Tamandua tetradactyla: one gene and its partner. The protein of the gene in region 1 interacts with the protein of each later gene in a biochemical or structural test. Links are inferred from orthologs where the notes say so. Each region holds a gene or a part of one and is shown in the gene's direction. Other genes may lie near its edges.

The links. The genes of interacting proteins can lie anywhere in the genome.
Region 2: the proteins of CD244 (region 1) and SH2D1A interact in a biophysical measurement, tested with the Homo sapiens proteins (2 studies listed by IntAct). The link is inferred for Tamandua tetradactyla from reciprocal best matches to the Homo sapiens genes CD244 and SH2D1A.

What each region holds. Positions count from the first base shown.
Region 1 is NC_135330.1:14,062,989-14,070,443, reverse strand, and holds the start of CD244 (natural killer cell receptor 2B4), read left to right. Parts: upstream 1-4,445; 5' UTR 4,446-4,643; coding exon 4,644-4,698; intron 4,699-7,455. UniProt on the Homo sapiens protein: Heterophilic receptor of the signaling lymphocytic activation molecule (SLAM) family; its ligand is CD48.
Region 2 is NC_135353.1:40,834,907-40,842,525, reverse strand, and holds the start of SH2D1A (SH2 domain-containing protein 1A), read left to right. Parts: upstream 1-4,618; 5' UTR 4,619-4,803; coding exon 4,804-4,940; intron 4,941-7,619.

The sequences.
Region 1 (7,455 bases):
ATCCATTCCAGCTCTGAGACTCTGAGGCTTTGAAGCTCTGTACATCCTTCAAGGTGTTGCTTAAGTCCTAAGACTCAAGCTCATGCTGATGCCTCCTTTCTGTGACAGTCATTACTGCCCGTGGTCCTAGCTCCACCACTCACCATTGTGCAAACTTCTGAAGCCTCAGTTTCTTCATTTGTAAAATGTGGCCAATAATATACTCACATAGTTTTTAAAATGTGGGCTAAAGGAGAGAAGTCGTGAAAGGCACACTGCTATAAACCCCTCAGTGTGCAACACATGTAATCACCGATTATTAGATGACTTTTGCAATAACTGGGGAGTATTGTGAGCACAGCTTGGGCTCAGTAGCTGTTTTTGAAGATGCCAGGACAGAGGGAGACATGCCATGGAGTAAGGATCACAGGGCCTGGGTTCCAGTTCCAGATCTACCACTAATAAGCTAGATGACTTTAGGCAAGTTAATGTATTTTACTTATTAGCAGTATTATTTGAATCATCATTTTCTCCTTCTTCTCTCTCTCCTTCCTCTTTTTACTTTACCCTCTTCCTTCTCCTCTCTGATCCTTAGTTGCCATGTCTGCAAAATGGAATTGTTAATCTCTTCCCACTCAACCTCATGGGGTTGTTGTGACAATGAAATAACAACAATAGCTCTCTTCATTGAATATCATGTACTTCCAGGCACTTTATATAGGCTATTGTTGTTCCTCCAAACAGTCCTATGAGGTAGGCATTATTATCCAGACTTTTATAGATGAGGAAATTGAGACAGAGCAGTTGCTCAAGGTCATGCAGCTAAAGAAGTGCTAAATCTGGGATTGAATCCTGGTCTTGTAGATTCCAAGGCTTGGGCATGACTCACTGCCCCACTCTTTAAAGCAGTCAAGCACTCCACAGGTGAAGGGCTTGGTTCATTATAGTCACGTGACCAAACTGAACTAAAGTGACCAGCACAGTCTCTTCCTCCTACAGGTCCAAATGGAAGGAGAAGACAAAGCGGCTGAGTGGCTGAGTTGGGTGCTACAGCCTGCTGGGCAGTGTCCCCACTCCATGGCCCTGCTCCTGACAGATGCTGTCACTGCTTCTGAAACTGTGGCATGACCTGCAAGGGCAAGGCGTCTTCCTGGGTGACCCTAGCGCAGCCCTGATGAAGCTGAGAAGTTTTCAGGTTGATGTAGCTCTCCCGGGCTTCTGTTCCTCCCTTTTTGGGGAGGAGAGGTTTGAGGCCTCTGCTAGGATTGCAAGGATGTGGAATGTGCCATATGTTTGGCGGGTTGCCAAACTCAGCTCCTGAGCTCTTTTTGGAGAATGTCTTTTCTATTCTTTGAACTCTATCAGTCCAGCAACGGGTGAAAATGCTGGTCACTGTCCTACATCTGTGTTACAAATCTCCTTGGTTTTTCTTGGGCCTCTTCTGACCACATCCTGTGACATTAGATGTAGTTGCCCAATAACAGAACTGTTTGATTCTTGTTATTTAGTCCTGAGAGCTGCGAACCAGATGGGTCAGTGGCTTTGGGTAATAGGAAGAGGTGGCCCCCACTTTGAGGAAATCTGGGTCTAACTTCTGCATCCATAGGTGGAGTATTGTTCCCAACTCCCACTCGTGAACCTATGTCGCTCGTCTGAGCAACATCCAAGTTCATATCTATTCTGTAATCTGTGATATGATCTCACAGAGAAATATATTTAGGGTAGTTTGCACTTTGAAGTGTCTGTGTGGTGACTTGGGTGGGGCTCAAACTTGTTTCCCACCATAGATGAGAAACTGCTGCATCTATCTTAATCTCTAAATTCTGTGCCAGTGATGGGGTGGGGACAGACGAAGAAGAAAGGGGCAAGGGGTGGGAGAGGTGAGGAGCCTTTGATAGCCAATCCTCAGGCTTCCTTCCCAACACAACTTCTGAGCTTCCTTCTTTCATCTATATAGTCCTTTTGAGTTATAGATTAGGTTCAGTCATTGTCAAATTCCAAGGTTCTGGGATCTAGTTTATTTACTGAGCCATGTTGCCCATTGAAGGATAGAAGGTGTTTAAGTCTTTAAGGCGTGCACTGTGTCTTTTTAGTTGACTCTTTCTAGCTTCCTTGGGCATAAGAGCAAGCTTCTACTACCTTCATTTTTGTAGGTCCTTGCATTAACCCAGCTGTCTAGATTATTCTAACTCCTTTATCTATGTCCTCCCAGGAGTGGGCCAAGCCTTGGGAAGGAAATCTTGGACACTTCAGACTCCAGTCATTGACTAAAGGGAGCCCAAGAAACTTCAAGAGGCTTCTGTATGAGTTCCCTGTTCCAGATTTATAGAGATGTGGGAAATGTGCATGAGAAATGGGTCCACAGGAGTCTCTGAATTTATGTCTTGGATCTGTATGTAAAGTTGCTGAATTGCACTTAAAGGCTCTGTACAGAGATCCTGCAAGGGAAGATATAAACTTCATCAGGGCACAGACCATGGTAGCTTACCTTATCACTATATCTCAGGGAGAATGGAAATGACTTTTCTAGAGAATTCATTCATTCACTAAGCACTCAAACACTTATTGACCAACTATTAAGTACCTGGCACTGGACTAGGCCCTGGAAACACTAAGCTGAAGAGAGCACAGACTTTGTGTTAGAGCTTAGAGTCAGGCAGGGCAGTGTACAGAAAAAATACTAGTTCTTATGTGGCAGAGTACGTTTAGGACCACAAAGCAGATGCCACAAATGGTATGGCTTCTTCCAGTTCTGTTTCTGGAAGATGGCGGGGAGAATGGAGCCAATGTTAGGGTCCAGATCAGTGAAGTGGATTCCTAATTCATGTTGTTCATTAGTGGCTTCCAACAGCTAGATGTTTCCCTGGTCTGTCATGTGAAGAAGTTTGTGCTCCCTTGTTGCATCATGTTTTGTGTACTATTTCTCAAGGTCAAGGGCATGGCCAAGTCAACTCTGAGGGTCCCCTGGGTGACAAAAGAGAGAGATTAACCATTGGACCAGCTGGAGAAATTGTGCAAGGGCTGTGTTAGTAATAATATTAAAAAAAATCTTAGCTGTGTCCAGAATTTTTTACATGCATATTCTCCAACAGTTTTAAAAATATGTAACATATATACAACCTAAAATGTCCCTTTTTAACCATTTCCAATTCAGGGGTGGTAATTTCATTCACAATGTTGTACTATCACCACCATCCATTATCAAAACTTTCCCATCATCCAGAACAATATATCTCTACCTATTAAGCATTAATTCCCCATTCCCCACTCCTACTCCAGCCTGTATTCTGGTAACCTGTGCTCTAATTTATGATTCTATGAATTTGCATGTTTTAATTATTTTATGTAAGTGAGCGCATACAATAGTTGTCCTTTTGCGTCTGGTTTATTTCACTCAACTGATGTCTTCAAGGTTTCATCCATGTTGTTGCATGTACCAGACATAGTTTTAAATGTGACACTGAGAGCTACCTCCTGAGGAGGAGGGAACAGGTCTTATCGACCCCATAGGCTTAGAAAGTGACTTGGTCAGGATCGCACAGGTCATAAGTTGTTGAACTGGTACTTGAGTCCAAGTGTTTTAACTCTAGATCTGGTGCTCTGTCCAGAGCCCCTCTGCTGCCTCTGTGGTAGCTGAGCCTCTCTGTCCACTGCCCTCCTATCCAGCTTCAGACAGGTGACTGGAAATGGACCAGAGAATGGAAAGAGAGAAAGGCAGACCTGAAGGGAAATGAAAGTATTTGCTGCCAAGTGGGAAGTAGAACAAAGTAGGAGGCCTGAACCCCTGGCCTCAAAGCAAAAGGGCTCTGAGGGAGGTGGGATGGGTGCAGAGCCTTTACCTGCCTGTGGGGGCGGGAGGAGGAAGAGAAATAGCCTGGTCCTTGTGGAGGGGGGATGGGTACTGCAGTGAAAAATGGGTCCACGTCCTATCTATGTGAGAGAAGGCAAGAAAAGGAAGAGGGAATGACTGTGAGAAAGTAGGAAAAGAAGAAGGGAGAGTATATAGAAATATAGACGGGAAACTTGGAGCAAAAACAAATTCTTATGAAAAATCTTTGCATGTACGGTATTTACAGTTTGATATCAACTTACATGGACTCCTCAGGCCTCTTATTTCTTCTCGTGTCCCCCCCATCATTAGATCTCTTTCTATGTCTCCCCAGCTATTGCTTCTCTCCCTCAACATATTTACCTGCTTGTCCAGGGCTCTGCTTCTCAGCTCACCACCCACCCCCTCCGATCCCTCTCTCCTCCACCTCTGCAGTGTCTGCTGAAATGGGGCAGTCTGGGATAACGGCCATTTGGTCCCAATGCAGGTCTCCATATTGCCAATAGGATGGAGCAAATTATGAGCAAGGCATCAGGGCTGGGGCAGAGCAAGGGGCAAGATTTTGAAGCTGGTTTTGTGAGTCACAGTGAACTCCGAGCACCCGCCCACTTGAGGCAAACTACACAGTGCAGCTTGTGGGAACTGTGAGAGCAGGTCCAGCTAGTGGGGCTTTCTCAGTGGCCTTGTCAGCTCACAGCAGACGAGAACAGCTTTGAGTTGAGGAAACTGTGGCTGGACAGTCACGAGGCACTTCTGTTGCCTGTTGCATCCTTGCTGATTAGCCTTGCACTGCAGAGGCAGAGAGGACCCAGCCCGACCCCTCTGTCCTGTGGGGATGTTGGGGCAAGTTTTCACCCTCTTCCTTTTCTTCACTGGACATTGGGGTCAAGGTAAGTAGGCCCAACCTGGCATGTGGTGGGGGCTGGCAGGGGCTAGGGGCTGTGCCCTCAGGGAGATCAGAAAACCAGAGCCTCTGATTGCACAGTCATCCTGGCAGCTCTGGACAGTCCGATTCAGACAGGACAAGCTGGCAGCGGGTTGGGAGATCCTTGAGAGGGGCACCTGGATGGCCATCAGCCTTCCAGGCAGCCTCAGCAAGGAGATTCCATTCTACCATCTTCTGTTGACCTCCTTGTGGCCGGTGAGGACAAAAAAGATCTCACTCTCTGATTGTGTTATGATTAGCAGTGTGGAGGAGAAGTGGCCCCTGGGCTTGGGTTTCTGTGAGGAAGTTGGGTGATTCTGGAGCTCAGAGGACAGACTGATCCCTGGTACAGGAAGGCTGAGCATTAAGAGGGGAGAGTGGGAAGAATGGCCAGGATTGGCCAGAGACCAGAATGACCTGGTGTCTCATCGGCTCAGCTCCTCCAGCTGCCCAGGGGCCAGAGGAGTCTGAGGATTGTTAGGGAAATGTTGGCTTGGAAGAAGGGGAGAAGGGAACAATGTAAGGATGCTCCACAGCAAATCTGAAGCTGTAGGCTGGGCATTGAGCCATCTAATATTTACTTGGGAGGATCCCAGCTGAGGGCTGCTCCCCCACTTTTTCCCAACCTGGAGTTTAGGGTGTTCTGGGTCTTGGATCATGCATTTTAGGTTAGTGGGTTTTTGGGGGGACATTGTGGGAAGGGGCGGGGTGAGAGGAGGTACAAAAGGAGGAAGCTGAAGCATAAGTTTGGGTTTGTTCAGGGCCTGTTAGAAGCCTGATATTGATTAACAATTGCATCCTAGGCTACTCAGTTTAATTCCAGGGCCCATGAGCACACTTATGCCCTCCAGGAAGAGACAGTGTAGGCAAACATCGAGCCTGGCATTGTAAGGACTGTAGGCAAAGTGATGATAATGAGGGAGCAGGGAGGAAGCACTGGAGCCTGGGGCTCATGTGGGCAAGCTGGCAGGACCCAGGTCCAGGAGTCCAGGCTGCAGAGCTGGGTTGGGACCTGGTCTAAGTGGCCTGGAAAGCATCTCAGAGAGTCGAAGCAGGATTGGCGGGATTTGGTGCTGGTTTTGCGGGTGAGGCTGATGGAAGCGTTGAAGGGAACTCAGGTCCAGGCCTGTGTGACAGGGGGAGATGCTCCCTCCGTCCCCACAGCCAGGGCCTCGGCACCATCTCTGGACATGACTCTGCAAGGCTGGTTGCAGCCGGGGCTGGCAAGGGATTCCTCAGGGACAGGATGGATGGACTGTGCGTCTTCTGAACTTCTCCCATCTCTTGGCACACCCAGTGTCTGTGGGGCTGGCCTGATAGCAGCTATTTATTTGTTCATTTTAATTTTTAAAACCTTTTGGTTTGAAGTAATTTCGAATGGCAAGAATGATACAAAGAATTCTTGTATTTAGCACATTTGCTTTGTCTTTCTCTCCACATGTATATATGTATATGTACAAACGATTATAATAATTACTTCTGCTGAACCATTTGAGAGTAAATTGTAGACATATTGACTCTTTACTCCTAAATATTTCAGCATGTCTCTCCTACAAATAAGTACATTGTCTTATATAACTACAGTACAGTGATCAAATTTCAGAGGTTTAACATTGATACAGATATACAATCCAAATTCAAACATTACCAGTTACCCCAATAATGTGCTTTATGGCAACTGTTTTCCTGATTAAAGATCCAAACAGGATCATGTATTACATTCCGTTGGTCATGTGTCTTTTGCCATCTTTGACCTGCAGCAGTTCCTCAACTTTTCTTTGTCTTTTTTATTTTTATTTTTATTTGAAGAGTACAAGCCAAGCTGTATTGTGAAGGGTCCCTCAATCTGGGTTTGTCTGATGTTTGCTCATGATGATTTGACTTATGTGTTTATGGCAACCATACCATAAAATGATCGGTGTCTTTCACTGTACATCCCATCGGGAGATGTGTGGTAACCATGAAACTTAAAAAAAATTGTTTATTCAAGAATGCAATATGTGCAATGCAATATGCAATATGCATAAAATATATGTGTAAGATACTCACGCAACTCTTTAGCTTTGCAAAAGCCTTCCAAAGCCTTCTCGTTTCATGCAGAGGCAGAATCACATGCTTTACAGGTGCCTGTGTGATCTGGCCTCCAGTGACCCCCCCTGCACCCCCAGCACCTCTTCTTTCGCCCTTGCCTCTTGCTTACTGCGTTTCAGCCACCCTGGCCTGCTGCTCCCCCAGCAGTCTCCTCCTTCCCACTTTACATTCCCAGCTTCCTCTACCCTGAAGTGGGTGGTGGTGGTGGTGCCCTTAGTAGTCACGTGACTTGTTCCCTTTCTCCCTCAGGGTTTTTTTGCTCAGATACCACCTTCTCAGCGGTGCCTTCCCCAGAAAAATGTCAATGCCCAAACTGATTTTTTTGCATGGGCAAGCACCGGGAATCGAAGGCGAGTCTCCGGCGTGGCAGGCAAGAACTCTGCCTGCTGAGCCACCATGGCCCACACAGTGTCCAAACTCTTTATATCCTTCTCTGCTGAATTTTTCTCCATGGTGTTTATGTCCACCTTACACACTTCATAGTCTGTGCATTTATTTTATTTTCTGTCTTCTAGTCCCCTCTTTACCTCACCAAAATATAAGATCCTAAGGGCAAACCGTTTTCTGTTTTGTTCACGGCTGTACCCTCAGAATCTAAGACAGTGCCAGGCACAAGTAGATGCTCCATGAA
Region 2 (7,619 bases), on another chromosome or scaffold:
GTTTCAACAGTCAGAAAGAAGAATTCTCTCTCTACTTCAGCCAGCCAGCTTCTCCTGGGAAATTCATCAAAACTTACATTAGAGTTTCCAAATTGCAGCTTGCCCTTTGGAACTTGGGCTTGCCAATCCCCATGACCACCTGAGCCAATTCCTATAGTAAATCTAATAATAGTTTCATAGATATATCCTTTCGATTGTGTTTCTTTGGAGACTCTTGACTTATAAACTGCATAACCAAATTAGTCTAGGATAGAGAATGCCCAAATCTTTTAAAAACAAACCAATCAGTGTTCTGTGACTTAGCAAGGATAAGCTGATGATTCAGATTCCAGATGGTAAGCCTGAGAGAACAGACTTTCACTCTGTAATATCCTTCCAAAAGAGGTAAAAAGACCCAAGCAAAAGCCGTATAGCTGATCTCATAAGGCATGTAGACATAGGTCTCCTGTAAGTCAGGGCAGGGGAAGAGTTGATACTTGAATGTAAGAATATTGCAGAAGCCAGAATTATCCTTCTTAGATAGGAGACTGAAGTCTGAGCCATCCAGGGCAGTGATAGCAGAATTAGTGGTGGAAGGCAGAAGACGATGGTGGTGAAATGCACAGGATCTGTAGCCAGCTGGCCTGTATTCAAATCCTGGGTCTGACACAGACAAGTAGTTCAACCTTGAGTAGGTTACTTAGCCTCTCTGAGTTTTGGCTTCTTTGTTGGTAACATGGGATAATAATGGTATCTGCTTCATAGGACTGTAGATATAAATACAGGAGATAATATATACAAAGTGTTTAGCAGGATGCCTGGAATGTTGTAAGCAATTAACAAATATTAACTATTGCTTTTACTCCAAGAATAAAACCTCAAAATTAGGCAGAATTTCAGCTAGAATTAGGGAGCCCACTTTGAGTTCATGAAGGAGGTAAAATTAGGACAAGTAAAAGGAATTGTATATAGTAGACAGAAATATATAAAACTTGCTGCTTCTAATAGGATGCGCAGGTTTAGAATATAGGTCATTAGTTGTCCCACTACTATGCGGCAGAGCACCATCCTTTCCTCTATCACAGCCCTTAAAGGAATTGTAATTGTCTGTTTGCTGGTCTGTTTTCCTCAGTAGACTGAGTTCCTTGAGAGCAGACACTGTGTTTTCTTTTCTTCTCTCTACTAGGTATATATTTTTAGTTGATGCTCAAAAATGTTGGTTGAAAGAATAAACACATTTAAAGCAGGCTTAAATAAACATAGACCAACAACTCTATCTCTGGTTTCTCACTTACAAAATAGCATTAAAAAATGGCCTCATAGGTAAAGCCAGACATTATTGAAAGGAAGTGATCTTTTTTTTAAAGACATTTTAAAATTTTCTCTCATTTTTGTGAAGGAAGTGACTTTTAGTAAATTCTGAAAGAATGTATAAACTCACCACAGGTGACAATATCATAACACTGTCACAGTAGAATTCACACCTAGAAATGAGTTAGTTGAAGAACAAAGTTAGGTTTGAAAGGTTAGAGAAAAAGATTTTGAAATGTCAGAACCACTCTATAAAATTGACCACCCTTGGCATCATCCCTTTAATCTACCTGGGCTTGAGAATAGCCTAGGGCATTTGAAATGAAGACAATTAGCACCTCAGACCAGGCATCCATGTGCAAAATTCTGTCACTTCTCAGAGATCTCAGGAGATGACAAGTTTGGATAAGAAGACTTTTATTCTTGGTTGACAATTCTGAATTCAATGCTTTTATATTATATTTGATTTATGCAATATCTGTATTCTAAAAGGTTGTAGTTTGCTTTAAATTGTGCAGGTCTCTTTCTCCACACCATGACTAATTTCTTCGGTTATTTTAAAACAAGAACAAAAATCTATACCCTATTGTGTAAGACAAGGAAATAGCTCTTGCTTCTTGCACACAAATATTAACTCAGTGCATTTCCCCTTTGTTTCTCTCTAATGCATGCTAAACTTTCATTTAAAGCATAAAATGTTAAAGCTGAAAGTGACCTTAAGGGCCATCTGGTTCAACTGCATTTTACAGGTGGGGAAAAATGAGGCTTGGAGAGAGGAAGTGATTTAGTGACAAAACATGGTGTATAGTTGGACTATCATAGTTACTGAATTAATGGTTTTTCCAATTCATTTTTCTCCTTCATGGGTGGGCCCTGAAGCATGTAGAACCAAATTTTAATGTGTGTGTGCAAAAGTGAATTTCAGTATTTTTTCTGTATTTTCTTGAGAATGTTAATCATTTTTTCATTCATTCAATAAATATTATCTATAATGTACCGGCCACTGGGGATGTAGTGATGAACAAAGAACAAAATGTCCTGCAATCATGGACTGCATTCTGCTCCTATAGTGGTTTATATTCTTTTTTTTGGGGGGGGGCGCTCATTCTTCCTAATTCTTTCTCTTTTGTTATCTCCGTTGGAGGGAGGAAGAAAGTCATTTCAGTTCTTCCTTTCTCTACAATGCAAGCTCAGTGTAGAGATCTGAATTTGCTAAAGCCAGGTTTAGTACTGGTGTAGCATTAGAGTGAAGATGTTAGTATTTTCCATCAACACTGCAGTAGTGGGGTGGCTCAGCTGTCAGTTTGCTTTTGAGATGACAATGAGGTACTGGATGTGAGCGTTGTACTATTACCTTATAATTTATCTGTTCTGTTTTTTACAACTTTAGTTGTGCTGAATGCCATCATACCTCGCTGCTTTGATAGGTGTGCTATTTTAGCAACACAAAACAAGCAAAGGAAAGAAGAATGCATGGTATACTTCTGCTGTCGGATTCAGGTTGCTCTGTTCCTAAGTTTGTGGATGATTTGTTTAGAGTTGTACTGAGAATAAAAAGTTAGGTTTTGTTTTTTTACCTATGTAACACCAAATGTTCTCACAGATCACCTCACAGGTAGGCTGTTGCCCATATGGACTGATATGAAGGGGTACCTTTCCCTATCTTTTCCTTTCATGATTGAAATACCACTAATGCGATTGATTCCTCTGGGCTAATCATTTGCCCACTCAAAATACAAAGACTCCAAGGAGGACTAACTTTTTAAGTCCTTAACATTGGAATATCCATTCACTTATCAGATTAATTGCTTTCTTGATCCAAAATATAAGAAGGAGTGAGGCAGAGTTGGCAAAAAAGAAGAAAAGTGAGGTAGGAAGGTGATGAGACATATTATCCAATTCCCTGGAGTCATCCCCAAATGTAACCTTGGATGCTATATATTTATTTTTGGTGTTGAAAATGACTGCAGGAGGCTCTGTTCACACTTTAAGTACTATGATTGCTAGATTCTATATGAATTATCATTCAGACTGGGCACTCTTCAATCAAGAAGTTGAGTTGCTACCAGCTACCACCTTAAATCTTAGAAGATTGTTCTTAATTGTAATGGGTAGAGAGCAAATATTTGGCTTTAGCATAAAGCAGGTCTGTGCATTTGATTCATTAGTAGGACAAGTGAGGATTTGAAAACTGTTCTCCCTATTGAACTCTGAGCCTTGTCATGTTTTCAAAGAATTGGCACTGAAGTTGTGGAAGGGATACAGCAGACAACAAAACTTCAGTTATTTAAATTTCAGTTTAAAAAATACTTTACATAATCTAAAGGTAAATGTATAAGTCTGTTCAGTTTTAGGCATTAGCAAAGTCTTATTCTGTTAAAAATGGAGAAAGCTTTTGGGAAATATTATTTAACAGCATATTTTGAAATAGAAGCGATGTTTATTTCAGATAAGGAAAAGAAAGTTGAAATATTTTTAAAAATTAATGATAGTTTAGCATCATTTTAAGAAAAAAATATTCTCTAGAAAAAAAAACAGAGAATAAGAGTTACCGCAAAATCCTCAACACTTCGAAATGATTTAAAACAGGCTTTATGCCCCAAATGCTGAAAAGTGGTTCTTATACACCAGAGAGTACATGTATGTCCACATAAAGGCAATGCAACAATTAGATAATTCATTCTCTCATCTACAGCCCATCAAGTGGATAAATCTGGGACATAGGCTGTGATTTTTGTACTCCAACTGCATTTTTGGATTTTAGACAAGATAGGAAAAATCGGTATTTGCTCAGGTTCAAGGTTGTTCAAGATAGCTACACAAGGGAGGAGTTGGAGGAAAAGCATAGGAGAGGGTCAGTAGCAGTAGGAGGGTGAAGAGGGGAAAATGCTTCCTTAAAGTCCAATGCTCACCCACCATGTCTGATTCCTAGGAGCCTCACGGCCACATTCAGTATGCACTGATAATACTGATAGCTTGCGTGTATAATACTGATAGCTTGGTGTCACTGTTTTTGGTCCTTTCGTTCAATCTCTGTCAGTATGTTTCCACTCCACATGAGGGCCTGTACAACTTGCCTCTATCATCCATCCCTTTGGGGGAGCTAGTTAAAGTTGCATCATCCCTGCCGGCCCCTGGGAAAACTGCATGAGCAACATTGCCAAGCATCACTGTGTGTGTGCAAGGATCTGTGTTAGCAGTGCAGCTGAAATCTTCTTGAAAGGGCCATCATCTTCCAACATTCTTCCCTTCTCCATATGAACCTTTTAGTTGGAGGACGGGGAGAGGGAGCGAGCTCCGAGGCGATAACCAAGCTGCTAAATTGCTGAGTTGGTTTTAGTTGAAGTGTGAGAAGGTTTTCACGCACACTGACAACATCCTGTTGTTCGGGTGCATTTCTCTGTTTCTTGCACATCTGGCTGAACTGGGAGACAGGTGGCTGACTCGGCCTGACTATAGCTGCAGTGGCATCTCTTTTATCAGACGTTTTGACCCACACGAATCCACCAGGTCATGGATGCAGTGACCGTGTATCACGGCAAAATTAGCCGGGAAACCGGGGAGAAGCTCCTGCTTGCTACAGGTCTGGACGGCAGCTATCTGCTAAGGGACAGTGAGAGCGTCCCGGGAGTCTACTGCCTGTGTGTGCTGTGAGTATGCAGCCGTGGGGACCTACGGAGGGCAAAGGTGGTGGGTGGGCTGTGGTGGTCGGGCTCAGGCAAGAACACAGGTTGTGGGAGTTTGTGGCCTGAAGGCCTCCTCAGGTCCAGCCCTGGTCCATGGCACACCATACTTCAGCCTAGACAACTCAGGATTTCATTCGCCTGCTCCAGAAAGGCCTCACCAGGGATTTGGGGGGATGGCTACAGAAAATGCCCTTTTGGGTGGGAAAATGTGACCGGGAATTTACCTTCACTTTAAGAAAGACCATGTATCTCATAGAGATGAGCAAGGTGGAGCCCTGGGATGGTGCCTGGGTTAGATTTGGGGTCACAGCTCCTGAGAGAAGGAAAGGTCTTTCTGAGGCTACTTTTAAAGGGATTTGGAGGCCTTATCTCAGACAGACCATCAGATTCAAGGAGAGGAGGAAGATAAGAAACTGAATCCATTACGTGAAGACTGCAACTCATCAGGTCGGGATAGCAGATGTTTGTGAGTCAAACTGCTCTCTGGATCTGCTTAATTTGCTTCCTTTTAGAAGATTTGTGTGTAGGGCAGGGGATTTCAGAAATAGGACCCTTAAAAAAAAGCTAGGTGTGACCACAGTTGTAAAGAGCAGAGAAGGAAAACACTCTTGTTATGATTCAGCCTTGCCTTTTACCTAGGCATGTTTCAGTCTGAATTCCCATTTTGAATCAGATGTATCTTCATCTTTGCTCCAGGGCTCCAGAGACAGATATATCTGAGACCTAATCTTGTGCTAGGCAGATGCTAGGTTTGTGACCTCAGGCAAGTTAATCTCTCAGTTCTCTCAACCATAAAATGGGTGTAATACTACTAAGTACCTCAGCATGGATTAAATGCCATACTGCATGCAAAAATACTTGGCACTGGGATCTGACCCACAGTAAATATTCAATGTGAGGCATCCTTTGTTCAGTCTGATTTCTTTTAGTACATACGCATGGGTGTATTTCTAGGCAAGGGCCTAGCACTTTTTGGCAGCAAAATAAAAACAATGATGAAAATACCAGTCAGTCCCTCAAGCAGTCTCCTGACAGAAACAAAATGAGGGAAAATGCTTTGTAGTAAATTCAGTATCTAATGACACACTGCAAGATTTTGAGGTATGTTCTGGGTTAGTGAAGAAATGTTACATCAAAGTTGGTGTTAGGGACTTTTAATTGCATATATTTTTAAGAAATGGGAAATCTATGTTTGTGGCGGCTCTCAATTAACCAGAATATACCTATTCTCTGGCCATACTAAGTGGATTTATTATAAAAGATTCAAGGAAAATATGTGGAAGCTATTGAATCTCTTGGGCATGAATTTTTATGTTTTGCTTATAATATTGTCTTTCCTGGTTAGGAGTTAAGGAAGGTCGTTGAAAGCCAACTGATGTTTTCAGACTCTTATTAAAAGAAGGTGGAAGAGTGAGTGGGCAAGTGAAAGGGGCTGCTTTAAAAGTTAACAAAAGATGTGACGGGTTCCTTAATCTAGAGGTACAAAAAGAGGGTACAAAAGAAGCCTTAGCAGGAGAGGGAGAGCAGGGGATGGTATGTGGCAAGACTCACCTAAGGCTTCAGCCACACTTCCTTGCTGTTTCTCAAGTATGTCAGGCACGCTCTTTCATTAGGGTCTTTGCACTTGTTCCTTTTGTCAAAAATATATTCAATTCACATATTTCTTCAGCTCTGTCTTTCTTCAGAGGGAACTTTCTTGATCACTCTATCTAAAATAAGTGTTCTCTCCTGGTTTGTCGCTATCCCTTTATGTCTCTTCAAGGAGCTTAAAACTACCTGACATTCGCTTGTTTACTTATTTATCGTTGGGCTTTCCTGCTAAAACATAATCTCCATGGCAGCAGGGACAGTGTGTTTACCGCTGTGTCTCCAGCACTAGGAACACTGTCTGAAACCTCTTGGGCCTGTGGAGACAAATTCTGTTCTTTACCGCAAAGGCAAAGATGCAGGCCCTGGGGAAGTCACTTAATTTTCTGGGCCTTTGTTTCCATATTTGTAAAACAGGAATTGTGATGCATGCCCTACTTTCAGTATAAAATTGGTATAAAGTAAAATATGCAAGAGAAAAGGACAACTTTAGCCTTTTGCCGAGACCATGTCAGGAATTAATTTAGGCAGATAAGAAATTCTCAAACATTTAGTTTTCACTCAAAGTGAATCTTGTATAAATACAGTTTTTATAACTCTTAGTTCTCCATGAAAACCTCCTTATGAAGTAGTACAAAATAGAGTTAGGCAAATTGGGGGTCCTTGGGCTGTTAGAGTGATAGCTAGACTGTGCTGCAGAGGGAAGATACATTGCCTTTTTTTTTTTTTTGATAACATTGTCTTTTATCAGTTTATTAACCTTTTTGAGTCCAGGGTGCCTTCTGATAAACAAAAATATTTCATGCTCCCTTTTGCCACTATACTGTAATAACAACAAAATCAGATTTTATTTTGAAATGCACCATGTACTTATTTTAAAACAAAATATTTAGGTTTATCATATAAACTAAAGAGTGGAAATAAAGTAGATGTAAAATAGAAATACTTATGTAAATGGTGCTATATACATATGCCATAAACACATGATCAGCAAGATAGAGCTAAACAAACATGCATTCATTGCAGGTTCACTTGAAATGGTTTATCAGTCTACTT